Linked DNA regions of Canis lupus familiaris. The protein of the gene in region 5 interacts with the protein of the main gene of each other region in a pairwise test. Links are inferred from orthologs where the notes say so. Each region holds a gene or a part of one and is shown on either strand. Other genes may lie near its edges. The genes, in order: NEU4, SH3RF2, RUSC1, CSN3, RBPMS, CNNM3 and ZBTB32.

Evidence for each region.
Region 1: the proteins of RBPMS (region 5) and NEU4 interact in a two-hybrid assay, tested with the Homo sapiens proteins (2 studies listed by BioGRID and IntAct). The two-hybrid records come from large-scale screens. The link is inferred for Canis lupus familiaris from reciprocal best matches to the Homo sapiens genes RBPMS and NEU4.
Region 2: the proteins of RBPMS (region 5) and SH3RF2 interact in a two-hybrid assay, tested with the Homo sapiens proteins (2 studies listed by BioGRID and IntAct). The two-hybrid records come from large-scale screens. The link is inferred for Canis lupus familiaris from reciprocal best matches to the Homo sapiens genes RBPMS and SH3RF2.
Region 3: the proteins of RBPMS (region 5) and RUSC1 interact in binary tests that used the Homo sapiens proteins (3 or more experiments, as listed by UniProt). The two-hybrid records come from large-scale screens. The link is inferred for Canis lupus familiaris from reciprocal best matches to the Homo sapiens genes RBPMS and RUSC1.
Region 4: the proteins of RBPMS (region 5) and CSN3 interact in binary tests that used the Homo sapiens proteins (3 or more experiments, as listed by UniProt). The two-hybrid records come from large-scale screens. The link is inferred for Canis lupus familiaris from reciprocal best matches to the Homo sapiens genes RBPMS and CSN3.
Region 6: the proteins of RBPMS (region 5) and CNNM3 interact in binary tests that used the Homo sapiens proteins (3 or more experiments, as listed by UniProt). The two-hybrid records come from large-scale screens. The link is inferred for Canis lupus familiaris from reciprocal best matches to the Homo sapiens genes RBPMS and CNNM3.
Region 7: the proteins of RBPMS (region 5) and ZBTB32 interact in a two-hybrid assay, tested with the Homo sapiens proteins (3 studies listed by BioGRID). The two-hybrid records come from large-scale screens. The link is inferred for Canis lupus familiaris from reciprocal best matches to the Homo sapiens genes RBPMS and ZBTB32.

What each region holds. Positions count from the first base shown.
Region 1 is NC_049246.1:51,660,827-51,664,829, reverse strand, and holds the start of NEU4 (sialidase-4), read right to left. Parts: upstream 2,855-4,003; 5' UTR 2,706-2,854; exon of another isoform or gene 2,617-2,705; intron 2,171-2,616; exon of another isoform or gene 2,076-2,170; intron 1,151-2,075; 5' UTR 1,051-1,150; exon of another isoform or gene 959-1,050; 5' UTR 812-958; intron 791-811; exon of another isoform or gene 496-790; 5' UTR 423-495; intron 1-422. UniProt on the Homo sapiens protein: Exo-alpha-sialidase that catalyzes the hydrolytic cleavage of the terminal sialic acid (N-acetylneuraminic acid, Neu5Ac) of a glycan moiety in the catabolism of glycolipids, glycoproteins and oligosacharides.
Region 2 is NC_049223.1:39,550,786-39,555,129, reverse strand, and holds the start of SH3RF2 (E3 ubiquitin-protein ligase SH3RF2), read right to left. Parts: upstream 2,835-4,344; 5' UTR 2,681-2,834; intron 1,539-2,680; 5' UTR 1,433-1,538; coding exon 1,055-1,432; intron 1-1,054. UniProt on the Homo sapiens protein: Has E3 ubiquitin-protein ligase activity. Acts as an anti-apoptotic regulator of the JNK pathway by ubiquitinating and promoting the degradation of SH3RF1, a scaffold protein that is required for pro-apoptotic JNK activation.
Region 3 is NC_049228.1:42,221,840-42,224,622, forward strand, and holds part of RUSC1 (RUN and SH3 domain-containing protein 1), read right to left. Parts: intron 2,263-2,783; coding exon 2,164-2,262; intron 2,019-2,163; coding exon 1,942-2,018; intron 1,847-1,941; coding exon 1,672-1,846; intron 1,504-1,671; coding exon 1,398-1,503; intron 1,258-1,397; coding exon 1,211-1,257; intron 755-1,210; coding exon 205-754; intron 1-204. UniProt on the Homo sapiens protein: Associates with the adapter-like complex 4 (AP-4) and may therefore play a role in vesicular trafficking of proteins at the trans-Golgi network. Signaling adapter which plays a role in neuronal differentiation.
Region 4 is NC_049234.1:60,686,163-60,689,209, forward strand, and holds the end of CSN3 (kappa-casein), read left to right. Parts: intron 1-22; coding exon 23-487; 3' UTR 488-521; intron 522-2,352; 3' UTR 2,353-2,509; downstream 2,510-3,047. UniProt on the Homo sapiens protein: Kappa-casein stabilizes micelle formation, preventing casein precipitation in milk.
Region 5 is NC_049237.1:34,777,312-34,781,438, forward strand, and holds the start of RBPMS (RNA-binding protein with multiple splicing), read right to left. Parts: upstream 2,801-4,127; 5' UTR 2,519-2,800; intron 2,421-2,518; 5' UTR 2,282-2,420; intron 1,195-2,281; 5' UTR 939-1,194; coding exon 873-938; intron 408-872; exon of another isoform or gene 393-407; coding exon of another isoform or gene 369-392; intron 1-368.
Region 6 is NC_049231.1:46,209,028-46,213,228, forward strand, and holds the start of CNNM3 (metal transporter CNNM3), read right to left. Parts: upstream 2,828-4,201; coding exon 2,484-2,827; intron 2,373-2,483; coding exon 1,447-2,372; intron 1-1,446. UniProt on the Homo sapiens protein: Probable metal transporter.
Region 7 is NC_049222.1:117,766,388-117,770,561, reverse strand, and holds the start of ZBTB32 (zinc finger and BTB domain-containing protein 32), read left to right. Parts: upstream 1-1,353; 5' UTR 1,354-1,453; intron 1,454-4,174. UniProt on the Homo sapiens protein: DNA-binding protein that binds to the to a 5'-TGTACAGTGT-3' core sequence. May function as a transcriptional transactivator and transcriptional repressor. Probably exerts its repressor effect by preventing GATA3 from binding to DNA.

The DNA.
Region 1 (4,003 bases), on a different chromosome or scaffold from region 5:
CCTGGACTCCAGGGCCCCCCCCAGCCCCCCTGGGGAGCCAAGCAGGAGAGATGGAGGCCGCACAGACCAGCTGCTCACACTGCCGCCTGCACAGAGCAGGACAGGGCACCCCGGGCCATCCTATGTGGGCCCGGGTCTCTGCAGAACCCCAAAGTCCCAGGGCGACCCCCTCAACCTAGGAGGAAGAGTTCTCTTCCTCAGGGGTAGCTGGCCAGGTCTGGCCACATCAGTAGGTTCCAAGGCTTGGTGTGAGCAGGGTAGGATGGCTGTGCCCAACATCCCACCCTCCAGACAGCTGTCCCCCGACCCCCACCCTCCTATCAGCAGGTCTCCGCCCCCGCCCAGGTCAGGACCCCAGCCTGCTGCGGGTCACTTAAAGTCACTTAAATGCGTGCCTATCAACAGCAAAGGGTTTTGCATACGTGTTTGGCCTTTTGGCGGAGGGGCCTCCTGGCCCTGTCACTTCCGGAAGGGTCTCCAGTCTGGGTGAATGTCCTGGGCCGTGCCGGGGGCCAGGACTCAGTTACAAACCACTGGCCTGGGGGAGCCGGGCCCCACACTCCTGCAGGCTGGCCCGCCCCCACTTTGACCCGCAGCCCCCCAGCCAGGTCACCGGCTCTCCGCGGCTACCCCGGGGCCCTGCAGGGCACCTGCCGCTCTGACCAGGAAACTGTCCCACGGGGACACCGTGTGGAGCATATGGCCGGGCGGCCCTCAGCCCGCGAGTGTGCCCCGCCCTTGCCCAAGGGCAGCCTGGGGGGACAGAGGAGCCTTGAGGGGCCGGGGGCAGGCGAGCAGGGAGGGGACTCACCGGGTGTCGCAGGAAGGTCGTGGAGCTGGCTGCGGGGCAGCTGCAGTTGCTTCTGCTTCTCCAACCCAGTGAGCGCAGCAGGGACAAGGGCTGGCTGTGCGGGGCGGGAGCCTGGACTGGCGGGGTCCCAGGGCTGCGTCCTGCCAGCTGTGTGGCCCCCAGAGAGGGCGGTGCAGATGGGCACGGCGGGAGGGGGGGAAGCCCTCTCTGCCCTGCAGTGCCTGGAACTAGGGGCTCACCTCCAACAAGGCTGGGCTGGGACCGCGGGTGCCAAGGGCCGCAGCTGACAGCTGACCCCTAGATCTCTGCTGCCTCCAAGCCTCCTCCAGAGACCTGCCCCTGGAAACCCAAGTGAGCACTCGTGACCCTCCCAGCACGGCTCGGACACCCAGAACGCAGGCCCCTTGGGCTCTCACTGGGCTTCAGCCCCGTGTCCATGTGAGGTGGCCGGCTCAGACTTGGAGGGGACAGCCCCCACCCTAGCACCCATGGCCTGGTCAGGACTCCCACCCGTGGCCTGGTCAGGACTCCCACCAGCTGGGCCCTTTCACCAGTGACCGTGTCCAGGTGACCGCCGCCCGGGGGCGTCAGGGGGGCCCTCAGCAGCCCAGGTGTGGGTGAAAGGGCTCTCTGGAGGGCCGTCCTGCTCAGGCTCCCTGCGCCCCACCTGTACCCCCTTGACCTGCCCTCTGACAGCAGGACCACGGGACAGACCCCAGCACCTGACCTGGACTGCCCACCCGCGTGCACCCGCTGACCTCCCTCCCACATTCTTCCTGAAGCTCTTCTTTCCGGCTGGTCTCTTAACTCGGGCAAAGACCCAGCAGGTGCCGCATCCCGGGATGGACACTGAAACTGGCCCCCCTGCCCCCCGCAATAACCTTGGCCCGGAGGAAGAGCTCTGGGGGCCCGACCATCCGAACTGTGGGAGCCGCACCCCCGACTCACTGTGCAGATGGACCACGGGGCACGGGCGACCACACAGTCGCCCTGACCTCATATAACACTAAGACCCCTGCCCTGGGAGGACACGAGCCGCACGGACATCACACACGACGACTACGTTTCGGCAGGTTTCCTTAAGGCACACGCGTGACTTTACGCCTCTACAGACAATGACAAGGCTCCCCTTCCCGAATAGTCCTCCTGACCCTACATAAAAGGAAGCCATCCACCCTGGCTCGGGAGTTGGGACAAGGTATTCCCCTCGATCCCCTTACTGCCTACAACCCAAGCTTCCTTTGGAGACCGCCTACCCACCCACCTGCTCAGGTCCTCGGGAGACCTGGGGAGAGGAGCAAGGAGACCCCCAGGTCAGTACCCTGGGCCACCCGTGCCCAGATGCAAGCCCAGGCTGTGCTGTGGACGGGAAGGGGGAGACGAGGATGTGAGACAGTGCATGTCCTCACTCCGGGCAGCCCACTGAGGCCCTGGAGGAGGGCACAGTGACCCTCCTCTGGGGGTTCGGCGGCCTCCATGGGGACACCTTGCCAAGGGCAGCGGGCAACCGTAGCCTGACCCCCCAGGACCTGCGAGTCCACCTGAACCTGTAGAAACTCCTTAGGAAACTGGCTTTCTCTCCCCGCAACACATGTGGGTGCTCCTCCCCTGGCACACAACCCCCAGTGTCCATCTGGAGGGGCTCAGGACCCGGGTTCCGGTAGCCGGTGCTAAATGACCCTCTCCTAACCACAGATGGCCCCCTGGCTCCCAAAGTCACTTGGCGACTGGGCTCTCCCTCGCCCCCTCCCACCTCGGGCTGGGACAGCTCTTCCCACGCCCGCGTCCTGCCCCTGGGCTTTCACCTCTGCACGCCGACCACGTCTCTTGGTCGTTCGATCTGGACCCCAGCGTCTCCACATCAGACACGACCCCCCACTTCCCAGGGCCTCACCCAAACCGTCTCCCTTCCTCTGTGCCCAGGGTTCGGGCCTCCCGCTGCGCCCCCAAGCTGCCGCACGGCCCGTGCAGGGGGGCCCTCTGGGACCGCGGGAGGAGGCGGCCCACACACCGGCCTCATTCCCTCTGCTCGGGGACTTGGGGTGTGGCTTTGCTTGTTTTACGTTGTTAACACCGAGGAATGCTTGAACGACAAACACTTCACCGTTTGAAAAGCTTTTATTCATAGACGCTCCCAAAAATACTCAAAAAAAATTTAAGTATGCTCGTAATGATCTTTCCTGTCCACTCATGGAGGGGAGCGAACGGCTCCTCCTAGGCCCCCATCCCCTCTCCTCTACAGACACACGAGAGAGCTGGGCGCTCTGTTTTGGTTTTTTTGCTTGTGACAAACGATATTCTATTAGTTTGAGGCTGTATCGTCTGTGCTGAGGGGACAGGAGCACGCGGCCACCCCACCGTGTGTCCGCAGACAACACAGCTGCGCCCCTCTACGCGGAGCCCTCAGCCGGCCCGAAGCTGGAAGCTTGGAGCTCTATCCCCTCCACCTGCTCACCCCCCCGCGCCCCCACCACCACCCTGATAAATGTTTGCATGAGACACCAGCCGTTTTAAATGTGGAGATTTCACAGGAAAACCTGTATTTCCAGCTTCTCTTGACAAATCAGAAGGTCCGCCTCCTGGGCTTCCTCCGTGGCAGGGGCCCCTGCCCCCCGCGGCCACCTGTCGTTGCCAAGGCCTGGGTGTCTCTCCGTCCGGCTGCTGAAGGGAGTCCTGTGCCGGAATCTGTGCCCCTAGGCTTCCCTAGGCGCAGAGACTCGGGTGTTTGCATGGTTTTCCCGGCTGTTTGCCGACACGCCTCCCTCCAACCGTGTGCCCTTTACAGTGTAACAGTATCCCGAATTTCCTTCTGCGGAGACAAAACCAGTTTACATTCCTGCCAACCAGAGGCAAAAGCAAATACCCTCGATTCCAACCGCACCTCCGAGTTCCTGCCCCACATGCAGCTGGGAGCCGAGCCACGTCTGTGCCGCGGGGAGGGGGCAGTGTGTGCCCTGGGCTGGCGGCTGGTGGCAGCGGGCACGTGGGCGCCCCTTTCCCGGAACCCGTGGAGCCCGCCCAATGCTCCAGGCGCTGAGTGTGACTGGGGTCTCTCTGTGGTTTCTTCCCCGTAAAGCCTCACTGCCTTTCAGGGACGTGGCGGCCTCCGGTTTCCCTGCTGTGCTGACCCTCGGGGTCGTGGACGAGCGATCCTGGGGTTCCGTGGCTCCCCGTCCCTGTGCGGGGCTGGGG
Region 2 (4,344 bases), on a different chromosome or scaffold from region 5:
TGAACACCAATAAAAAATAAATTTATTAAAAAAATAAATAAATTAAAAAGAATAATGAAATGTAAAAAAAAAAAAAGCTGTTCACTTTAGGTAAGACTTCACAGAAGGCAGCCTTGACTTTCTAAGTATGCCAGTAACCCAGGTCACAGCTTTCTGTGTCTGCTCTGACACACTGACTCCTGGGGTGACAGTGCACATAATCCTGCTGGACTCACAAGGACTGCGTCCCTCCTCTCAAGATGTGTCCTTAACACAGCTTCCCACAAAAGGCTTGCAGCAAGGTCAGATAGAGTCCTCAGGATCCAATCGCATGGCTGGATAGAATGATTCGCGTTATCCAAACACCAAAAGAGTTCCTATGATCTCCTGTGCACCACTGCCGGGCCTTTGTGGTTATGGCAGCCACCGAGGTGCATTTTATGTATGTTTGATTCATTTTGTAGAGTTAGACATCTGCAGGGCTCCTGTACACACGTGTTGTACTTCACAGCCCAGCCTTCCTATCAATCAGTCCACCCACAGATATGCTTTCCTCCTGCACAGTCTTTGGGTGTTCAAGTATCTTGATAACTTCGAACAGATCATGAATGAGCACTGTCATAATAGCACTTCAGGACTGGAGGTGGGAAGATGGAGTTGGGTAAAATTAAAACAAAACCTGACATTTAACTTCTCAAAGATCTCAAAAGCAAAAAGCAGCTGGATTTGTTTTCTCTTTTTCCCCCTCCTCTGCACATTTCCTGTGCACTGGTTTGGCCTCAAATAGCAGAAGTGAAAGGTGAAAAATAATCACGAAGGCTTTCTTTGTGCTAGTACCTTCTAGACAAGCAGCACGGGGAGACCTCAACAATTCTAAGAATTTCTGGATGGATAAGATAGGCTCAGGATTCCACCAAGTTTCAGTAAAATGATCCCTGCCCATAGAAACTTCTCTCTGGGGAATCACTGGCAGCACTCATTGAAATGTAACTATAGGAAGATAATTCCTAGCTGCTGGTATACACAAATCCAACCTCCAAAGGGACACAATACGAACAAATAAGATCTTTCTTACCCCATCCATGTGGATTCTGATATTAGGCACCAGTCGGAAAGGGCTGGACTGCAGACCTCTGGGGTCAGTCCTGCTTTTCCTGCTGTCCTGCGAGGTCAGCACACCAGGCCTGCGGAAGGAGCCCCCTCTTCCAGAGCTCTGCCCTGAGCGCACACCATCTAGAAGACGCACGAGCAGCAGGTTGGCTGGCAGAGCTTCGATGCTGCAAAACACCAGGGTCCTGCATTCGGGGCACCTCAGCTCCTTGTGAGCCTTGAAAATCCTCTGGAGACATGGTTTGCAGAAGGTGTGCTGGCAAGGGAGGACTTTGGCTGTGACGTCGAGCTTTTCAAAGCACACGGGGCACTCCAGAAGATCAAGTAACGTCAAATCATCCATTTTATTTTAAAACTCCAATCCTGATCTGGAGGGGCAAAGTCTGCATGGTAGGGTGAGCTGAGCCAAGGAGGCAGATCCAGTCTCTTGGGAGTGTCAGAATTCCTGCCTGTGTGAATGAGAAAGGAAGAGATGAAGAAAATGGGACTGCTCTGAGAGGTATATCCCACCTACATGGAGGCAGTGTCTCATAAGGCAGTTTGCAAGTACTTTGTTCCAGCACCCAAGTTTCAAATGACTCATTCTGATTCAGTGCTAGCAGGTATGAGGCTCAACTCCTGCCTGCTGGAGGATCTCAGGGAGCATTCTCCATGGTGACTGACTACTTACTCATTGCTTCTGTGTGTGGAAGCAAGAGCAAGGAGACAAAACTGGCTGGTTGAGGTGGCCTGAGGGCTCAAAGGGGGTTCTTTTCCCCACCAATCAGTTTCAGTTCTCACATCAAGGGCCCCCCCAAAATGCAATTTCTGTGAAGTCATCTAGTCCTCCTTCTTCCCCTAGGTTTATCTGTTATCTGCAGAACAGACAAGTTTATATAGACAAGTTTATCTGAATCTCATGCAGATGTAGGATTAGCTCCTTCATTATGCATCTTCCCCCATTAGTTTGTTCTAGCAACATATGAGAAAAAGTTCTATGAGAAACACATTTTCAAAAACTGTTTGCCTTAACCACAGGCCAGGATGCTTGGAAGCTTTTTCCCCCCCTCCTTCTCTCCTTTCGTCCCTCCCTCCATCCCTTTCTTCCTTCTTTTCTCCCCCCTTCTCTCCCCTGATTATTCTAGCCTCAGAGACAAGATTCCTCCCACAGGGTGAAGTCACACAGCCTGTTTAGTTACTTTGACAAGTGTTCTCAGTTTCATCTGAAACAGATCCCAATTCTGGATTGTGGTCACAACCAAAAAAAATCAAGATGGAACAATGTATACAGGTGTGAGTATGTGTGTGTGTGTGTGTGTGTGTGTGTGTGGTCTGAAAACATCCTTATTCCAGAAAGTTTCCTTTTAGACGTCTGAAAAGAGGTGTCCAGTTGAAAGAGGTCTCCCAGGAAGAGGTCACCTGTCCCTCACAAATGCCAAAATTGTGCACAGCAGCCCCAGAGGTTTGGGAGGTTCAGCCCAAGGGCGGGTGGCCCGCCAGTAAGCAAAGCAGACATGACACACCAGGAGGAGAGAGGGCGCCTTGCCTTCCTGAGACAACTCTCCCAAGGCGTCAGTTCTGGGGAGATGTGTGTGTGTGGGGGGGCACTAACCTTGAGCACAGAACCCCAGCTGAGTTCAGCTCAGCGCGATCCTCCATCCTCGGCTTGGCCAGGCTCCCTCCAACTCGCTTCCTTTTCCCCAAGAGCCGCTGCCGCGCTTTGAAAACTTTAACAACTCTGAGTCTTACTCATTTCAAGGATCGCCTTACTCAGCCCTGTTAACGCTTTCACTGCCTGGCAGGCAGCAGCGCTTTTCTCGGGAGTTCACCCTCTGCTGCCCATCGTTCCTTTGTGTAACTGAGTTGATTTCTGGGAAAAGATTAGAAGGGACAAAATATAAGCCAGCCCCTAAGGCTAAATATTTGCAGTTGATATTTTCACTTTTCTCATTTTGTCTCCTATCCCAGAAGTTGAAACATGCTCGGTTTATAAACATGCCAAGGTGACTGTGTGTATTTTAAACCTTTATAAGGATTTGCTGAAAAGGTCAAACATATTAACGGTAGCTATAACAGAGATAAGCCCGCCACCTAAAAAGTACTTCTCCTTGAAAAGCAGTCAGTCCTTGAATTTGTACATTTGAGACGGACCTTTAGTGATCTCTTTTGCTCAATCTCTTTAAATTAAAAAAAAAATCGTATCATGGTAGTACATGTACACCTTTGAAAAATCACAGCACAGAAGGGTTTTGAAGAAGGAATGGTTTCAGTCTCTCTCCCTGCCCCATGCTTGCTGGAATCTTTCCATAGCTCCAAATAATGCTAATACTTTGATGTCTTGATTTATCTGTAACACATTTCATGTAAAGTTACATAGTTATTCCATAAAGTAAATACTCATGATAATCTTACCCCAGAGTAGCCCTTATCTGTGCTAAGCACTGTTCTACTTTACCTATATAACTCAATCCTGTTAGTAAGCCAGTAATACACTATACTCTTCTTTACCCTCATTTGCAAATAAGGAAACTGAGACACAGAGAGGTTAAATAACCCATTCCAGGAGTCACAGCCAGCAAGAGACAGGTGTTCCGTGCTCCGTACTACCATGTCCTATGGTGATACAGCTTTAAGGGGAGGAGATGGTTGGAGGGAGCTAAACTGCATCTGGGGATGGCAGGAAGTCAAAAGATAATGACCCAAGCTGACCAATCAACTTCCCTTGCAGATGAGCTGTGCCCAGAGAGATCAAGAGATTCCTTCAAGTTGCCCAGTAAGTTAGGGGCAGAACTGGGACTAGAAACTGGTATTCTTTTTTTTTTTTTTTTAAACTAAATCTCTTCTTTCAACTTAAGGATGACAGTTCTTTATGATGCAGAAAGCACTTAGCTACAGCTCCATGGGAATATCTTAAGAGGGGACCAAGACGCCAGATAACAGGTGGTGGCGGATTACATGTTTTACAAAATTTTTCCATGTTATTTCTGAAAAAGAAAAGATGCATGGAGCTCACAACAGAGGAGAGCATTAGGATGCAGCAGATGAAGTCATCTGTCCTCTGAGCACAGAGACCTGATTTGAGTACATGCCAATTTCAGAAACCATTTTCAACTCTTTTTCTCATCTCTCTTTATGAAGGTTTTTTTGGGCTTCCACAACATCAAATCCAATTCTGTTGCCTGTTCTCCTTCAATTAATTTCCACTTTTATAAATTCTATGCTCATCAGGAAGTCTCTTATCTGAGGCCCTTTGCTGTCCCTTACTTTTTCCCACTT
Region 3 (2,783 bases), on a different chromosome or scaffold from region 5:
CTGGAGCCGGAAGCAGCCCCCTGAGATTCGGTAAAGGGCAGGCAGTAAATATCTCCATCTTTGAGGCCAAGAGGCAACACAGAGAGTGCCCTGCGGGTTCTCACACAACGAAGAGGCCTCAAGGATCCCCCGAGGTTCCCCCTGGGGCAAACAGGGCTCTGAGAAAGGATCAGAGGCCTAGAAGGAGACTGGTGGTGGCAGTACCTGGACTTCAGCGTTCCTCCGTCCCCTTCCGCCAGGCCCCCAGGCACTCCAAACAGCCTCCCCAGCCACGGACCTCGGCCGGCCGTGGCCTCCTCTGTGGGCAGGGGCCTGTCGTGGGGGCCTCCAGCCGCCGTCCCTGGACGCCAGGCCCTCCACCGGGGAAGGGGGAAGCCCTCGGTGCCCCCAGAGGCATAGACCCGGGAGGCCTGGGTCAGCTGCTCCCACCAGCTGCCCGGCGCTGGGGTGCTCTCGAGGGCCGAAGGGCCAGAAGGCGTATCCCCAGGGGCCCCCCGAAGGCTCTGGGCCAGCCGCCCCCCCCAATGCAGCACTGCGTGCACCGTCTGCTGCAGGGCAGGAGGTGAGCCTGGGGTGGCAGTGGTGGGTGGGGGGCCCAGGGGCAGGTGGTGGTGGTGCTCGAACAGCAGGTCCAGGTGGAAGGTGAGCACAGACAGTGGCTGGAGCAGGAGCAGCAGCTCCGTGGCCAGGGCAGGGCAGCCAGCCCGGGCCAAGGAGAAGAAGCCAGTGGGCAGGTACAGGAGGGACAGCAGGCCTGGGGACAGCAGGCTGATGTCAGCCCCCAGGTCAGCCCCAGGCCCATGGGCTGAGTGGTGACCCCGGAATGGCAGGAAGGAGGCCTGGCCCCTCAATGACACAATGTGGGAAGTGGGCTCCCTGGGACCCTCCCAACAAGGTCCCCAAGGATGAGGGAGACTTCCTGGGGGGAGGGGAGGTGACCACAGCAAAAGGAGGGCCCTGGGGTAAGGAGCTGGAAAAAAACACTGCCCAGGCCTGGGAAGGAGGAAGAGGCCCAACATGCAAGACTCTGGAGGTTTCAGGGAGGATCTGGCTCTTTCCTGCTAGGGGGGAACAGGACACACTAGAAGTCTAAGTCACCAAACTGGAAATGAGGATCAAGGTCCCTCTGGCACCAGGGGGACCCACAGAAGAGACAGTGCCCCCCTCTTTGCCCCTAGTGGGCAAACTGCCCTACCCATGGGCGACTGACCTGCATCTTCCTGGAGGCTCGAGAACCACAGCTCCAGCTGCTTGGTGCTGGAGGGGAACGGACAGGAGCTCAGGCCGGCGTAGGGCTTCGGAGAGGGGAGGCCACCTCAGGGACGCTGCGTCCCTCCACCCGTGACCGCCGATGGCCCCCAAGCCATGGGAGGGGCACCAGAAACACAGCCACTCACTTGAGGAGGCCCAAGATGAAGGCGTGAAAGCGGCTGCGGCTGCTGCTCAACGGGGCTAGACGGCTGACCTGGCCATACAGAGTCCCCAGCGCCCGGCTGCTGGCACCTGTGGACACCGCACTATCAGCCAGGACCCCACCCGCCCCTGCCCCTGCCCCTGCCCCACCTTGCCCTGCCCCTGCCTACCTGTGCCCCACCCCACCCCACCAGCTCCAGCCCCTACCCCTACCTCATCCGGCCTGCCCACCCCAGCACCCCCCTCAGGGGACCTCACCTGGCTTCACAGAAGCCTCCACCACGCTCCAGGGGCTACTCCTGCGCTGCCCCGTGATGAGGTCCTTCCGGAACGGCTTCAGGCCGTCGGCCACCAGGGCGTGCAGGGCCGGACAGAGGGTAGTCAGCACCAGATGCCCCACATCTGGGCTCAGACGGCTGTCCCCCAACTGGGCCTGGGGGTGGCACAACCCGCTTGTCCGAGGTGCCTGCTGCCCCCACCCCACCTACTGTTCAGGGGCCCCCACAGCCTCCCCACCGCCGCCCTCACCTTCTGAACCAAGTTCCGGGCCGCCCCAAAGTGCGAGATGATCTTGTCCACGGAGGCGCTCACAGCTATCAGGAGCCCTGCAAAGGGCGGGTGGGGAGCTCACGTCTGTGTGGCAAACACCCCAGGGCCGGACACCCAGGCTCCTACAGGCCGACAGGGCGCCGAGGCCTAACAGAGCAGCAGCCAACCCAAGGGCTGGGGTCAGAGGTCCGGGCGTCCTACCTTTCTTCTGCTCCTGCAGCTGGCCGGTCCCGCTCTGGGCCTCTGCCATCCACCGTCGCTGGGCCCCGGGGACACCGGCGAACGACCAGGAACTCTGGGCTGCCGCGAAGGAAGAAGGCGGCACTTACCACGGTGACCCGAGGGCACCGGGCTGGCGCCCAGGTCGCCCGCAGCACCCGGGGCCGGAAACTAGCAGGGACAGGGACAGGGACAGGGCCCTAGGCCGGGTGGGGCGCCCCGAGCTCGCTGCCCCTCCCCCTCCGGGGCCCGCGCCAACCTCCGCCCGGACAGCCCCGCGCGCCCCGCCCAATGGGCCGGGGTGGGGGGAGGGCAGCCCGGGGAGCACGTGGGGGGCCAGGACCAATGGACAGACAAACAGACCGACCAAGGGAGTGGGAGGAGACACGGAGAAAGAGGCGACCTGGGGAGGGGAGGGGGGTAGGCTGGGAGGCGCGGGCGTGGGCCCACTGGGGTCCGGCGCCTGCTTTCCCCTCACCCCCCGAGCGAGGCAGGGCGTACTGTGCCCCCCACACCCCAGCACCGCACAGGCCCCGGCCCGCGACCCCTCGCCCGGGCCTCGAGGCGCGGGGCCAGGTGCCCCCCACGGGCGGGCGGGGCAG
Region 4 (3,047 bases), on a different chromosome or scaffold from region 5:
GCATGATGTATTCTTTTTACAGTGTCGTGAGAATGATGAAAGACTGTTCAATCAGAAAACTGTCAAGTATATCCCTATTCATTATGTGCTAAATAGCTTTTCTCACTATGAACCCAACTACTACCCACATAGACCAGCTGAACCAATTAATCATCAATATGTGCCTTATCCATTTTATGCAAAACCTGCAGTTGCAGTTAGGACACATGCCCAAATTCCTCAATGGCAGGTCCTGCCAAATGCCTACCCACCCACTATGATGCATCGCCCACAACTACATCCATCATTTATTGCCATTCCCCCAAAGAAAATTCAGGATAAGACAAGCATCCCTACCATCAATACCATTGCTACTGCTGAGGCTACACCTATTCCTTTCACTGAACCAAAAGTGAACACTGCAGTCACTTCAGATGCTTCCTCAGAATTCACCATCACAAGCACACCTGAGACTACCACAGTTCCAGTTACTTCACCTGTAGTCTAAAAACTCTGAGGAAACACCAAAGAAGACAACGCAGGTAAATGAGAAAAAGACAAAAATAAATAGTACAGACAAGATTCATGTATTTATCAGTATAATCATAATACCTAAAATAGTATAATAGATAAATTAAGCTTATTATGAGAGTAAGCAAAATGAGTTCATTATAATTGTAATTTGGTGGTGCCATAGCATTGATATACTAGATTCTGTTCCAATAAGAAATGAAATATCTTCTTTTACAAACTACAGAAAAATTAGAGATTTTATTAGCAAACTTTATTTCAATAATTGAAACACTCTTAGAATCTACTAGTTTTGTTTCATTCCTACTCATACACAAGGAAAGTAGAGTACCATATTATGTTAAACTTACGATTTTTCTTATTTCAAAAATAAATTTTTAGAACATTTATATAGAATATGAGGGTAAATACATTTTAAACATTTAACCATGTTCTTGCACTCTTAATTTTGCCCTGAATCAAACAAAAGGAAGTACATTTTCCATGCATTCCTTTATTTCAGACATCATTTCTGAAAGTGTCCAGGAAGCCAGGCACTCAAAATTTCTTGTATTCTAAGATGAACCCATGGGAAAATTGGAATTCCTAGTTTTAAAAGCACATATATACTAAAGGAATACTTTCAGAATCTTAAATGTGATGCCAACATTTCCATTTATTATTTGGATCAATGAATAATGGCAAAATCTAAACTGAAATTTATGGAAAGAAATTAAAGGGAAAGATAAATAAAATAGAGAATAACCAGGATGTGAAGTACTTTGGGGGAGAAAGTTGTAAAATTTTAAGGTTCTTTGAAATAAATATTTTCAGTGCATCACATTGTCTACACGTTATATAACCTGAAATACAACACAGTGACCTGTGATACAAGGGAATAGTATTAGACCAGAGAGGGTATTTGTTTCATCTTTGTGACTTAGGCAAGTCATTGCTCTCTCTGAACTTTCATTTTCTCTTAATTTTGGGTTCTATAGGGTTCAAGTGACAGTGCATATTGTGGAAAGATTGTAAAAATGATCAGTCTACAAAATGTATTAAAAGAATAAAATCCGTAAATGCTAAAATTTACTTTTAACCAATATCTTGTTCTTACTAAATGGTAGAAATGTTACATAGTTATCTCAGATTACTCCTATAGCAACCATATGGGACAGATTATATTACTATCTTGAATTCACAAATAAAAAATAACTGGCCCATGGATATTAAATAAATTACCACAACTCAAAAGTTCAAAACTGGGAACCAAACCAAACCTGTCTGGTTTCAGATAGTAAAGCAAAATTACTGTGCTATTTCTACACAGACTGTCTAATGCACAGAAATAGGGAAAACACATTATGGTTTTCTTAGACAAATGTATGTGCAAATTATATTATTTAGCTCTTATTTAATAGGACATATGGTAGGAAAAAGAAAGTGAGATGGTAGATAAATTTTTGACTTATTAAAATTTAGAAAATAAAATAAGAAAATTAATAGAAGCAACATGAAAGCAAGTAGTAAAATTACATATTTTATTGATTCAAAATGTTACATGATTCCGTTTCTAATGAAATAATCATTATTTCAGTAGTTATGAGTAAACTCATAAACCTAAATTTCTAAGTTAAAAACAGTGCATAATATCACTTATAAAGAAGCATATTAAGGACATTGTCTTAGTGTAAATATTAAGCAAAGTCAATTATTTTCAGTTACTATAAGCCAAGTTTAAATATTTAAATTTATAAAATCCTTGGAAACAGATATATGAGACAAATCACTTAAATAAGAGTCTACATGAGAACTATTAACATACTATTAGCTAAATTCCTCAACTTTCACCATTTTTTATAGGTCTTGCTGAAACCAAATGACTACTCCAAACTCTTCCTTTGGTCACTCGTCTAAATTCATTCAAGAGAGAATGTGATTTTGATGAATTTGGCTCCTTTCTCTTCTCATCTCACATTTTACATCCAGATCACATTTAATTTTTTGTTTCTTGCACAATAAAGCCATTTGAATGCAAGCGGATCTCTTAATTGAGGAGTCTGTGGATTATACTTCAGGGATCTTTGAAACCTTGAAATTCCAAGGCAAATTTAGTGTGAATTTGAATAAATAAGTTTATCTGGGGGCAAAGTTCATAATGTTCTCCAATTCTCAAAGTGGTCCATGGTCTAACGGTGATTAAGAATGTCTTCTCTAGTATGACACCAGAACATCTAAACTTACAAGTATGTCATCAGAACTAGAAAAGGATTAAGTTAACATTTTCCAATCCAAGGGACCACAAAGTGACTCTTGGGAACCCTGGAAACTCCATCAGCTTCTGTAATTTTGCCATGGATCTGTATTTGTAGCTGTGGTATCTATAGCCTGCCTATACCCAAATTGGCTCCTAGGAATTATCTAAAATTAGCAATACTGTGGAGCACTTAAATTTAATGTTAACTCTAGGGCAGCCCAGTTGGCTCAGCGGTTCAGCGCAGTCTTCACCCAGGGCCTGATCCTGGAGACCGGGGATCGAGTTCCACATCGGGCTCCCT
Region 5 (4,127 bases):
CAGCTATGGGAGAACTTAAAAAGCAGGCGAAACATGTACTGTTTCTTGGACTCCAGGTAACATACCTGCAGGAACAAAGCCACTTGAAAGAATACCACAAATATCCTAACTACAAAATTCTGAAACCGTCCGTTCAGGTGTTCCCTCCCACGGATAAATGGGGTTTCTACCCCAAGGAACGCTCCGCCGCCGCAACGTTTTTAACTTTGTTACGGACGCACCACATAAAATTCACGCTCAGGAGTCAAAGTGCTATTAAAACAGCCAAGATGATCTCTTGGCGAGTTGTAAACTCTCAAACTCTTTTATTCGGCTTCCCCCACCCCACCCCAGCCGCATCGCCCCTAAAATTTACAAACCCTAATCACCCAGATTCGAGGTCTTTGACTCATCAGAGAAGAATGCAGCTGATGAGTTATCTATTAATCCAGAATGCCTCAGCTGGAAAGAGATCGCACCGAGAACTTTTAACACTGAAAAGGGAGGGGGAGGGGGCAGGGAACTGAAGGTGTCTCCCCGCCGAGAACTTTCCCCGAGTTCCTTCCTTCCTCACGCCGCACGCACAAACACCCCCCACTCCCAGCCCCGGTCGCAGACTCGGTCCCGACCCTCTGGGTCCCAGGAACCGGAGGTCACCCGGGAGTCAGCTCTCGATTCCGCTTTTAAAATCCCACGCAGACAAAGCTGAGCATTATACTTAGCAAACTCCGAAAAGTCCTCAAAGTTACGCAACTTTAGAAACGCGCTCTGCGAAGAGACCCCCCCCGCCGCCCCCCCCCCGGCCCGGGGCCACAGGTCGCGGCGAGGGCCGTGCCCAGACCCCGGACTGCGGCGCCCAGGTCGTGCCCCCGCCGCAGCGAGCCCCCCGGTACCTCTTCCTCCTGAAGGTTGGCCTCGCTCGGGGTGTTCTCCTTCTCGGCTTTGCCGCCGTTGTTCATCTTCCCGGTCCTTCCTCGCCGGGCAGGGCTGGGGCGCGGGGCTGGGGCGAGGGCGCGCTCGCCCGCTTGTCCCTTCCCCGGGCGCCGGGGCTCCCTCGGGCGGGCGCCGCGGGCTGCGGGGGCTGGAGCCGGGGCAGCGGCGGCTCGGGCTCCGCGGCGAGGCGAGGCGAGGCGACCCAGGAAGTGCGCGGGAGACACGGGGCAGGGCGAGGCGCGGGCCGGCGGGGACGGAGACAATCGGGACCGGGAGGGAGACCTGGAGAGCGCGGGCGGGCGGGCGGGCGCGAGGGAAGGAAGGAAGGAAGGAAGAAAGGATGGGGCGCGGGCGCGCGTCCCAGGAGGGAGCCCAGAGAGTTGGGGATGTGGCCGCGTCGGGGCTGGGGGCGGCCGCTGCCCGAGCCTGGCGGGGGCCGGAGGGAGGGGGCGAGGGGTGCCCAGACCCGAGGAAGAGGAGGAGGAGGAGGAGGAGGAGGAGGAGGAGGTGCGGGGCGCGGCTGGGACGCTGGGACCCGGAGAGCCGCTGAGTGCGCGCTCCAGGCAGGCTCTGAGAAGTACGGGATCCAAGCAGCTCCCTTTCTCTCGCCCTCCTCCCTCCCCTCTCTCCTCCCCCTCCCCCTCCTCCTCCTCCTCCCTCCGCCCTCCCTAGACGTGGGCTGCCAGCTTCAGCCCGGAGGGACGGGACGCGGGACGCAGAAGCCCCCCTCGGGAGGAGGGGCCGCCCGCGGCCGGATGGCGCGCGCCGGGGAGGGGCGGGGGGCGGCGGGCGGAAGCGGCCGACCCCAGCCCCCCGACTCGGCGGGAGGTCGGAGGGCAGGGGCCGAGGCGGACGAGGGAGGGAGGCCAGGTCCTCCCGCTTCCCCGGCCCCCGGGGGCCCCCGGAGCTGGCGAGCTCGCGCGGCGGTGCGCGCCCGCTTGGAGAGGGGCTTCGGGGCGCCGGGCCGGGCCCGCGCGACGCCCGGGACGCGCCGTGGGCTACCGCCGTGGGGATCGCGCCCCCGTCGCTCAGCCTGCCCTGCCTCTGCAGCACCGGCTCAGACCTATTTCCTCCCTTCCTACTTGGCAGCTCGAAATGACAGGATGCGAGAGAACGAGCGAGGTCCGGGGGCAGCCGGCTCGGGGCCGGCGTTTCCAGGGCGCAGCTTCAAACCCACCTCCCACGCCGGGCCCTCCCAGGCTCTCAGCCCCGGCCTTCGCCCTCTGCTAGGCTTCGCGCCCCCCTCTGCTCAGGCCCCTCTCTCGGCCCTCAGCAGACCGTCCTGGAATTGCTTACCTGCCTGCCTCCCTCACCCTTCCGGGGGAGCCTCCCCACAACGCAACGCCAGCCTCACCGTGTCCTTGTTTACCTTGATAATCCCACGGCTAGTTAAATACGCTACCGGGTATACAGTAGGCACTCAATAAATACTTGTTGGCTAAGTGACTGTTGCTCACGGCGAGCCGAGCTGGAGGCCAACCCAGATGATCTTCGGAGGGTCAAAGCCCCTTAAGGAAGAAAAAGGGCTCAGCATTCTGGGAGGGGGGCACCCAGTACCTGTTTAAGCACCACGCGCCAGAGGACTGCCTGGGTTCCGTTTCCTCACCTGCGAAATGGGAGTAGTTATAGTTACCTCCCAGGGGGGTTGTAATTAGAGGAGATTATAGGTTGGTAGAGCTAGAGCACCCAGCACTCATTCCTGCCCGGTGTAAGTTTACAGAACAGGGAAACTAGCATTATTATTAAGGAAATTTCCATTTTCCCGGGGCCATAGAGAGCTTCTCCATTCCTGTATCATAAACACATAAATTTAAAAGGGCCTCTATCAGAAGATTCTCCCTCACTTCCCACGCCCAGGAATTCTCTCACACGACATGCTGTTCCTTTCCAGCACAGTACCAATCACAACTTCTATTTATTTGCTCGCTTCACTGTTTATCTTTCTCTGCTCTCCCCCCTCCCCGCCAGACATTCTTCACCCTGTACTGGTTTAAGTGCTGCTGGGGGTGGGGTGGAGGTGGGGGTGAAGATAAGGCTCCTGCTTCTAGGGAGTTTTAACTGGTGTTGTGGAGACGAGACACCCAAAACAACTCCATGGCCACATGATCAGCGATCCTGGTTCAAATAGCAGAAAGCAGAGAAAATACTTGTGTGACGAGCGTTGTGAAGAAAAACAGAGTGGTAATTCTTGCATTCACTTACTGGGGTTTTCTTGGGTTGGGGGTGGGGGAAGTCTGAAGCTTTTGATAAATAGGTTTAATTGCTGTCAGGATGTCATGTGCCTCTGTGGGGGGGGTGGGGGGAAAGCGTATCCTGGATGAAAATAAACCAAGAAACTGTTGAACTTGCAATGGAAGTTCAGAAGAGGCAAAGGCCACCACGATTAATCTGGAAATTTGGAGAGCCTTTCCAATCCCAGTCCCTCCCTCAATTACGTAAAGAACCACGAGGGGGCAATGTGTTCCTGAGCAATGGCTGCGTGGTGGTCTTGGGCCCCTGCGCCACCAATAAACACAGGCCCTTTGCCCTCCTGGGCCATTGCCAGGTACTGAATACACTCCACAGAAAGATATTGTCTTGCTGGAGCCTGGCAAAGGCCCAAGAAAAGTGACAGTTGATCTAGTCATTGATGATTCCAGTCAGACTCCACTTACAAGTCGGTGGAAGGTGCTGTATGATTCCAGGATGCTGCTGCTACCTCCGTCCAGGGAAATGTGGCCTAATTCCAAATGTAGAACCTGATTCTTTTGCCAGCACTTTGTCCATTGTTAAAAGTCAAAGACATCTGGCATAAAAAAAAAAAAATAAGGGCTAGAAGAAGATCTTTGTCTGATTTGATCGTTGTGTCCCCAATATCTAGACAGTGCCTAACACATAGTAGGCTCTCGGTGAATATTTTTGAATAAATGAACACAGTCTTATCAGAGATTGATTTTCAGCCTTGAATGACATCACATCTTTACAAAGCCCCTGCAGGAGGGACTGAATAAGTGGAAGTGTCTCAGCATAGGGAGCCACCACAAGGACACTAGGCAGATTCATGGTAGTAGTCTTTAGGCATTATTTTGCAGGGGAGACCCACCTAGATAGAGAGCTTGCTCAGAATGAGACAACTGATGAGATTTCAAAAATAAATAAAATTGCAGGTATTTGGATGGCTCAGTGGTTGAGCATCTGTTTTTGGCTCAGGTCATGATCCTGGGGTCCTGGGATCA
Region 6 (4,201 bases), on a different chromosome or scaffold from region 5:
TTAGCTGGACCCCCTACTCACTGTTCTCCATATCAGTCAGTGCTCTGCTCAAAGTCAGCGCCCTGGAGGATCCAGTCCAGCCATCCCAGAGTCTCAAGCTGGGATGTGACAGGGGCGGGCTGGAACCCACCTCTGCACACTCCAGGGCTGGCAGTCCTGGCCACCAGGCCACAAGAACCTCTACTGCCTCGAGTACTACAATGGCCCAGATGGAGTACTCACCACCAGAGATCAGAGACCCCACCTGGGCATCCCCTCCCCACAGAGGAACTGCATTACCACTTTCTGGGAGAAAGAGCCACGAGCACCCAAGAGATGCTCTAGCAAGCTGTCAGAGCTGCACAGCAAAGCCTCCCCACTCAATCCTCAGGTACAGTAAGGATAGTAACTGCCCAACTTTTCAATACCACGCCCTGACTAATTATACTCTTGTGGCCTGGGGCCAGCAGACTTCACAGCTGCCAGGAAGATCAGGGGATCTGCTCTCTTCCCAGCCTCACATTATGCAGCCTTTAGGGTCAAGCCCATCCAGAGCCCTGGGGTGTCCCCCGTCTTCATCCTGTAGGAGTGTAGGAGAAGCATGGCTGGTGGACAAAGAGCAGCCACGCTCTGGGGAGCACACCCACGCCTTAGGATGGAGAGGACTACAGAGGAACCCATACCTTCACACTTGGAGGTTGGGTCTCCATGTTTACCCATGTGACCTTAGAGTTGCTCAGATAAACCAAGGTAAAAGGAGGTGAACTGTGGAGTTAAGGGAGACGCCAAAAGATCTCAGTCTTAGAAAAGAGGAAGTTAAAAAAAAAGAAAAGAAAAAAAAAGAGAAGAGAAGAGAAGAGAAGAGAAGAGAAGAGAAGAGAAAGAGAAAAGAAAAGAAAAGAAAAGAAAAGAAAAGAAAAGAAAAGAAAAGAAAAGAGGGAGACTAAATCATCCATAAGGTTGCTTCTGGTGAAATCAAAGTGGAAGTTTCTTCCACACCTGCAGAAAATCAGGCATCATCCCTTCTTCTGTTATCAGCAAGGCAGCAGCCCATCAGAGACCTTAAAACCATGATCGCTGGAAACTTCACAGGCCCAGCTGTTTTGACACTGTGTGCGCAGGTGATAACATCCAGGTGTCTGAAGACTATCCTCCTTTCTATTTAAGAGTATAGGCCTGTTACAAAGCCAAAGCCCACAAAAATGACCCTGAAGCTGGTAAGTCAAATGGACACGGCTCCCCAAATCAGGCCTACCAGGAAAAGGGGGATTTTGCTTTCTACGGCGCCCTGAAGGACAGCCTTTAGGTATCTCAAGAGGCCACTGAGCCCTGTGAGGCCATCATCTCAAAGGGCCCTGGGAGGGAAGGATGGGACCCTTTCCCTCGAGGCTTCCATAACTCCCTCCCCCCTTTCTTCCAGCGGAGGGCGCTGGCATTCGTGTCCCCTCCCCGATGTCCCGCAGTTACCTCGTTTGAACTCCTCCAGGACGGCGTCCAGCTTGGTGTCGTTGAAGACGAAGTGGAGCGGATGGTTGTAAAAGCGGGTGATGGTGCTGAGCGGCGTGCAGTCTTCGGGATCCACGAAGGCCAAGTCCTTGAGGTACAGCATGTCCACGATGTTGGAGCGCTCCTCCTCGTACACCGGGATGCGCGTGTGGCCGCTCTGCATGATGCTGGCCAGGACGCCGAAGTCCAGCACGGCGCCGGCGTCCAGCATGAAGCAGTCCTCGAGCGGCGTGAGCACATCCTCCACGGTCCGACAGCGCAGCACGCCCTTGCTGAGGTCGCTGTAGGGGTCGCCGCCGCCGCGGGCCAGCTCCAGCACGCGCTCGCGCAGCCGCCCGGGCCGCGCCGCCAGCTCCAGCAGCTGGCCCACGGGCAGCGCCACCGGCAGGGTCAGCAGCACGGCCAGGCGGCTGAGCAGCAGCGCGCGCGGCGCCAGCGCCAGCGCCCAGCGCCCGCTCACGGCGGCCGGCACCACCTCGCCCACGAGGAACACGAGCCCCGCGCTGCCCAGCACGGCGGGCACGGCGCGCTGGCCGGCCGCGCGGTACAGCAGCACCGCCAGCGCCGCCTGCGCCAGGCTGGCCAGCAGCAACAGCGCGCCCAGGGCGCAGCCGGCCCAGCGCCGCGCGGGCTCCAGGCGCCGCGCCGCCGCACGCTCGGCCTCCGTGCCGCTCTCGCGCAGCACCTGCACCTCGGCGGGCGCCAGCGCCAGCGCGCTCAGCTGCAGGCCCCGCGCCAGCGCCGCCAGCGCCAGCAGCCCCGCCGCCCCCAGGCCCAGCGCCCAGGGCGGCGCCGCCTCCTCCGCGGCCGCGCCGCCCGGCTCCACGCGCACGGCCAGCAGCGCCGAATGCGGGCGCACGGCCTCGGCGCGCAGGCGCAGCAGCGCGCTCCACTCGCCCGCGGGGGCCGCCGCCTCCCGGGCCGCCGAGCCGCCCGGCTCCCCGCGCACCGCCAGCAGCCCCGAGTGCGGGCGCGGGGCCTCGGCGCGCAGGCGCAGCAGCGCACGCCACTCGCCCGCGGGGGCCGCCGCCGCCGCCTCCTCCTCCTCCCCGGGCGTCGCGGCCGGCCCGCCCTCGGGGCAGCCCGCCCCCTCGGGGGCCACCCAGGACCAGGAGCTGTTGGCCAAGCCCGAGCCGAAGAGGCGCAGGCGGAAGGCGGCCTCCGGGGCGGCCCGCGCCTCTCCCCCGCGCGCCCACCCCGCGCCCGCGTCTCCGTCTTCCTCCAGACAGACGCCCAGCACTCGCGGGCCCGGCGCGGCCTCCCCGGCGGCGACGCCCAGGCACAGCGCGGCGAGCAACCAGCCTAGACGAGCCGCCGCCGCCGCCGCCGCCGCCGCCGCCATCGCCCGCTGCCCCCTCTCGGCCTCCCGCGCAGCCTACCCCTCCGCCTCCCCCGGCCCAATGGTCGCCGGCCTTGGCGCCTCCTCCGCCAATAGGCGGCGGGCGAGGGCGGGCCTCAGGGTCGGACTAGGCTGCGCCGGGAGTAAACAAGCGGCGGCGCGATCCCGGGGCGGGCCGGGGGCGTGGGGCGTGGGGCGTGGGGCTGCGGGCGCCGCGGGGCTCGGCCGCGGCTCCCGGGGCAGGGGGGTGGCCGGCGACCTGGGCGTCCCGTTCCCGCGGGCCCTCGGCGCGCCCCGAGGCCGCACCTGCGCTCTGGGAAGCCGGGGCGCGGAGCCAGAGACGCCAGTGTGTGGCGGCCGCACCGTTTCTTAGGGAAGGGCTCCGCGCACCGCTGACCTAGGGGCCCCGACGTCGGGAAGCTCAAGCTTCTTAGGGCTGATTGCGCCCGACTGTGCTCTGTGGGGCTGGGGACGTGAGACCTAGCCCTTTGCCTTCAAGGACCTTGCATTCCTGCCAGAGAGAACGACGGTAATTCTGTAAACCCACGAAGTCGCTACCTCATTGGATCCTCAAACTACTTTTACAGGAGAAAAGTGAAGCGTGCCTTAGGGTGGATGCAGGATCCAACACGACCTACTTACTACCCCGGTCACCTTCCCAGCCACGTTAGCAGAGGGGCAGCGCGGTCAAAAATTCCTGTTACCGGTCACTCTACTTCTAGCAGATAATCCTTGGGAAAATATCTTCTCGGGAACAAGAACTATTCAACAGGATCCTTACTAGAGAGTTATTTTAGAAGGCAATATGGTTCCTTGACGGTATGGAATGCTTTTCACCCGTTGTGCATGATCTTTATATGACCGGAAGGAGACAAACTGAACAAGTCTTTTCTACAAGGATCCAGATTGTTTTTGTATATTTTCTTTACATTTTTATGTATTTTCAAATTTCCTAACAAAAGTAGACTTTGATAAGGGTGCACATCTACATGTCATTTAAAATTTTCCTAAGGATTCTACAGAAACACATTTGCTAGGTCATGGAAATAGTAAGAAAAAGTGTAGGCACTGTGACCACAATTAAGTAAAACGGGTGGAAGGCAACATGCAAAAATGAGCAGACCCATTGTGGATAATCAAAAGAAAAAATACTTTGTGAAAAACTCCTCAAAGGATGGTGAGAATGTCTCTTCAACGTTGTAAATTCAGCGCTGTGACTAGGCCAACCACGTCTCCATGTTTTTGGTTTTTATTATCTAGAGGGTGCTATGCCTCACTTACGAGCCAGCAGAAGCAATGACACTACTGAGCCTTTCCACTGGATCAGCATGCCTCCTTTGAAGAAAAAAAATTATGGATTCACACTTCTGTCTCCCA
Region 7 (4,174 bases), on a different chromosome or scaffold from region 5:
CCGTCCCGACTTTCGTCTGCACCTGCTGTCCCAGGCCCCCCTCTGGAGGGTCCCCCAGCGCCCGTCCTTCGTCTCCAGCTCCTCAGCTAGCTGCGGGGTGGTGGGCGCCAGAAAACACTCCAGCAAGCCCCGGAGCTGAGCCGCTTGAAGCGCAGGGAGCGAAAGCCAACCGCCGCTTGAAGCCGTTGGCCTGGGCTCCCGCCTCCCGGCCTTCGGATCAATCAAGCAAGCCCCTGGGCCAATCAGAAGTGGAAGCGGTCGAGCAACGCCCGCCTCCTTAAAGCGCCCTCGCTCCTCATTGGTTGTGTCCGAGCGCGAACCCAAAGCCCTTGGAAGAGAGAGCGGCCAGCCAATCAGCAGCGCCGCCGCAGCCCGGCTCGGGGGCTGCTCCCTGCCCCGCGCGCCGCGAGCTCGCCGCCTGTCCGCACCAAACCCGGCATGAATGGGAAGCCAGCTGGCTGAGCTCTTAGCCCTGGCCGGTTCATGGCGGGGCGGAGCAATGGGCCATCCTCTCCACGTGTGTGTGTGTGTGTGTGTGTGTGTGTGTGTGTGTGTGTGTGTGGCGGGGGGGGGGGTGGCTAGTACGTGAAGTACGCAGTTATCCCTGGCTCAGCTGACAGGCAATGAGCATTTGAAGCGCGAGCATCTAGACCAATCGCGGGTCAAGGCACTGCCCCCTCTTGCGCCTCCCTCGTCCCCGCATACTTCCAGGTGAGGCGGGGTGCGTTCTGCAACCAATCAGTGGTGGGCAGGACAAGAGGCGGGAAAGGGGAGCTGCCCACAGGCACCCCGAAGCCTGGCCGACTCTCGAGGGCCTCCCGACCAATCACAGACACACACTGCATAGACTGTCAGGGGTTGAGAGAGAGGTGAGAGGGTGTGTAACAGAGCTCGTCAGGGTGCCAAGACAGAAGCAAGAAGGCCGTTGAATCCTGAGCCCTTGCGGAGGCAGCTTCCAAGACTATTGAGGCCAAGGAGGTTCCGGGCCAAGTCTTTCCAGAGAGAGGGTGGGAAGGGGCAAACTCCGCAGCCGCTCAGCAGGGGAGGGGACAGGCTGGAGGGTGAGACCTCCGCCTCAGAGACCTGAAACCCAAGCCCACCGACCCATCCCCATCGGACTCAAGGCCCCGCCCCTCGGCAGAGCCAGGGGGGCGGGAGGGAGCTCCGCAGCCAATCGGCGGGGGGAGCGGGGCGGGGGCGGGGGCGGGGGGGCGGAGCACGGGGAGCTGTCCGAGGTGCCTCCGAGGATGCTGGGCATGCTCAGCAGGAGGCGGCCGGCGGCAGCCAATCGGCGTCCGCGGCGGAAACCAGGCGAGACCCGTGAGCTGTGCACGCGCAGGGCCTCGAGCTCCGGGCCTCGCGCCGCTCCCCACTCGCCGCTCCCCAACGGCCACTCGAGCTAGAGCCGCCCTCGGTGTATGTGACTGTGGGAGGAGGCACAGGGCCCGAGTCGGTGAGTGCCATGGTTTCTCTTACGCTTCTTCAGGCCTGGGACTGGCCCAAGCCAAGCTGGGGTGGGAGGGCCGGAGCGGTCGTCGTGAGGGTTGAGAAGCGAGAGTTGAGGACTCTAGTCCCCGGGGACTCCCTTTTCCTGGCAAGGATGGCAGTGGGGCCTCCTGGGCAGGCACCTTTGGACCCGGGCTGGGGCAGAGGCCAACATGCCCTGGGTTGGTCCACAGTCCCTGAGGCTGACTTGATTTGGAAGTGTATTGTGTGGCCGTGGGAGGCCCTTGGAGCTCTGCGTGGCTTCGTTGGCGGTGAGGTATGGCCTCTGATCGGTGACAGGTTGCCTGAGGTCTCTGGCCTGAGTCTGGATGTGGTGACTGGAAGGGGAGGCCTGTGACTCTCCAGAGGTTATGGGGGGGGGGGGGGGCGGGGCATTACTGGCCAAAAGATGAAACTAGTGTGCTCTTGGGAGATTTTCTGGGGTCTTTGGATCCAGCCTGGGCTGAGAGAGTTGTCGAGATTGGAAGTCCAATGGGCAGTTGTCAACAGCCATTGCACCCAGGCTGTGCTAAGAACATGCAGCTGCAAGGTTTTGGGGGTCGCTGGACTCTAGGTTGAGGTGCAGATTTTCCACTATCAGGTCCAGGATAGACAACTTGGCCAGGAGGTTAGGCCCAAGGTCTTCTGGAGGTTCTTGAGGAGGGAGTTTCTGAATCTCAGGTTGTTTGCCCTCCATGAAATATTATTGCCGTGTGGCTCTAAAAAAAACCAGGATTGGGTCATATTAGGGCCTTTTGGTCTGCTCTTTCTGAAACCCTGGTCATTCTCAGAAGATACCAGGCTGTAAGAATGGAGCCAGATGCATAGGGAAGATGGATCTTGTCCTAGAGCACAGGAAGAGGTGTGTGAGATTTCCTGCTCCTTAGGAAATCACCCAGCTTGTCATTACGGAAGATTTTTTTTTTTAATTCTTATGGGACAGGGTGTTGATATCTAATTTCACTCAGCTGGACAAGTTCTATGTGGTATTGAAGCTTTCAGAGTGTTTTCATGTACACCCAGAATTCTTAAACCTTGGGTAGGGGGGTGCAAGGGGGAGTGGTCTATGAGTGGATTTAAGGGTTTTGGAGCTCCTGGAAATCACAAGAAAAACTATATGCATGTTGTATTTGGGGGGGGGGCATGCAAAGCAGCCACAAGGATAAACAAGGAGTATCTAACCTGTCCAAGGACTGACTCCAGCCTGTGAATCCCTTGTATGAGTATCCACAATTTTCTGATGTAAAGAGTTGATTCTGTGGCTTACAATTTTAAAAGGGATGGTGATCCCCTTAACCTATGTTAAGAGCCATTGGAATAAAGCTGGTTCCTGTATTATTCATGGGGCTGAGGCAAGACTAAAAATGAAAATTTCCCCTTTTCTTCCCACACCTGGTGTTGGTGCACATTTCAAGGCATCTCATAGATTAGTCTGCATGTCTGAGCTCAGTCTACCTGTTCCTCACACACAACTAGGGCCTGGGGTGTGTGTATCGGTTTCACAGTTCACCCTCCTGAATATAGACCCAGGGTTGAGGGCTGTCCTGGAAGGAGGCCATTTGGGTGAGGAAGTCCAGGGTTCCAAGTTCCCAGAGCATGGCCTAGAACTGGGGGACACATGTTCCCAGTGGGCCCTTCCTCGATGCTCTTGGGATCCTTGGCCCAAGGGGGGACCACAGCCAGAGGGGGTCAGAGCAGGTTTAACACAATATTGGCATTCAGTATTGCTCTTGAAAGCAGTCCCTGTGAGGAAATTGAGGATCTTAGAAGAGTTAGCCCCCGTATTAGGACTGAAAAGAAAGGCCACCCACAGAGAGGATGTAGTGGAACCTAAATTGTTTTACTTCTAGTCTAGTTCTTTTTCCACTTCATCCACAAAAGATATGCTATGATAGGGTCTCTATGACCTAGCTGCAGCTCACCTGGCTATAATTACACTGGTTCTTAAGTTATATGAAATACAGATTGAGGGGAAGAAAGAAACTAATTTACTCCGTGGTATGTATCGGTATGTGTTGGATGTACTTCACTAGAAAGAGTGGGCATTTGAAAGTTTAGGTAAGATTTGGATAATTGGTCTTCATCTGCATTATAAAATGCTGTGGGGACTTTAACCACTTTGATTTGAAGAAAGAGATGCATTCCTGAAAAAAGTGGAAAGTTCATATAATTTTTCTAAATTGAATCTTTTTAAACTTGACTTTGGAAGTAGTATCTGAAATAAGTGAGATAAAGGGAGAACATTTGTCATAAAACAAATAATCACCCCGCTAATCAGCCTATTCTGTGGCTTAGTTTTAATTATATTTAAGGAGAATCCATAATTGTATTGCTGCGTTGACATTTTTATATCAAGCTGAGTTGTACCTGCAGGGGCATATGAAGGAGCTCTGGTCAAGCCTATGAGAATAAAAAATACCAGACATTAAACTTTATTCAGTAATATGAGTATTAGGAATGAGGGGCAAAAGTCAACTCTTTTTCCCACATACTTTCTTCCAGGTATGCCCTATCTAGTCTTTCCTATCCACTCTACCTTCCCAAGATGCAGGTTTGTGTCCTCAGAATCAATGGTTTCCTGAGTCCACCCCAGGAGACAACTGCAGGTGATTCCTACAGTCAGCCTGGGAAGTAGAAGGTGGACAAGGTTTTTGAGACTGTGATGGGGGACTTCTCAGGAATAGAAAAG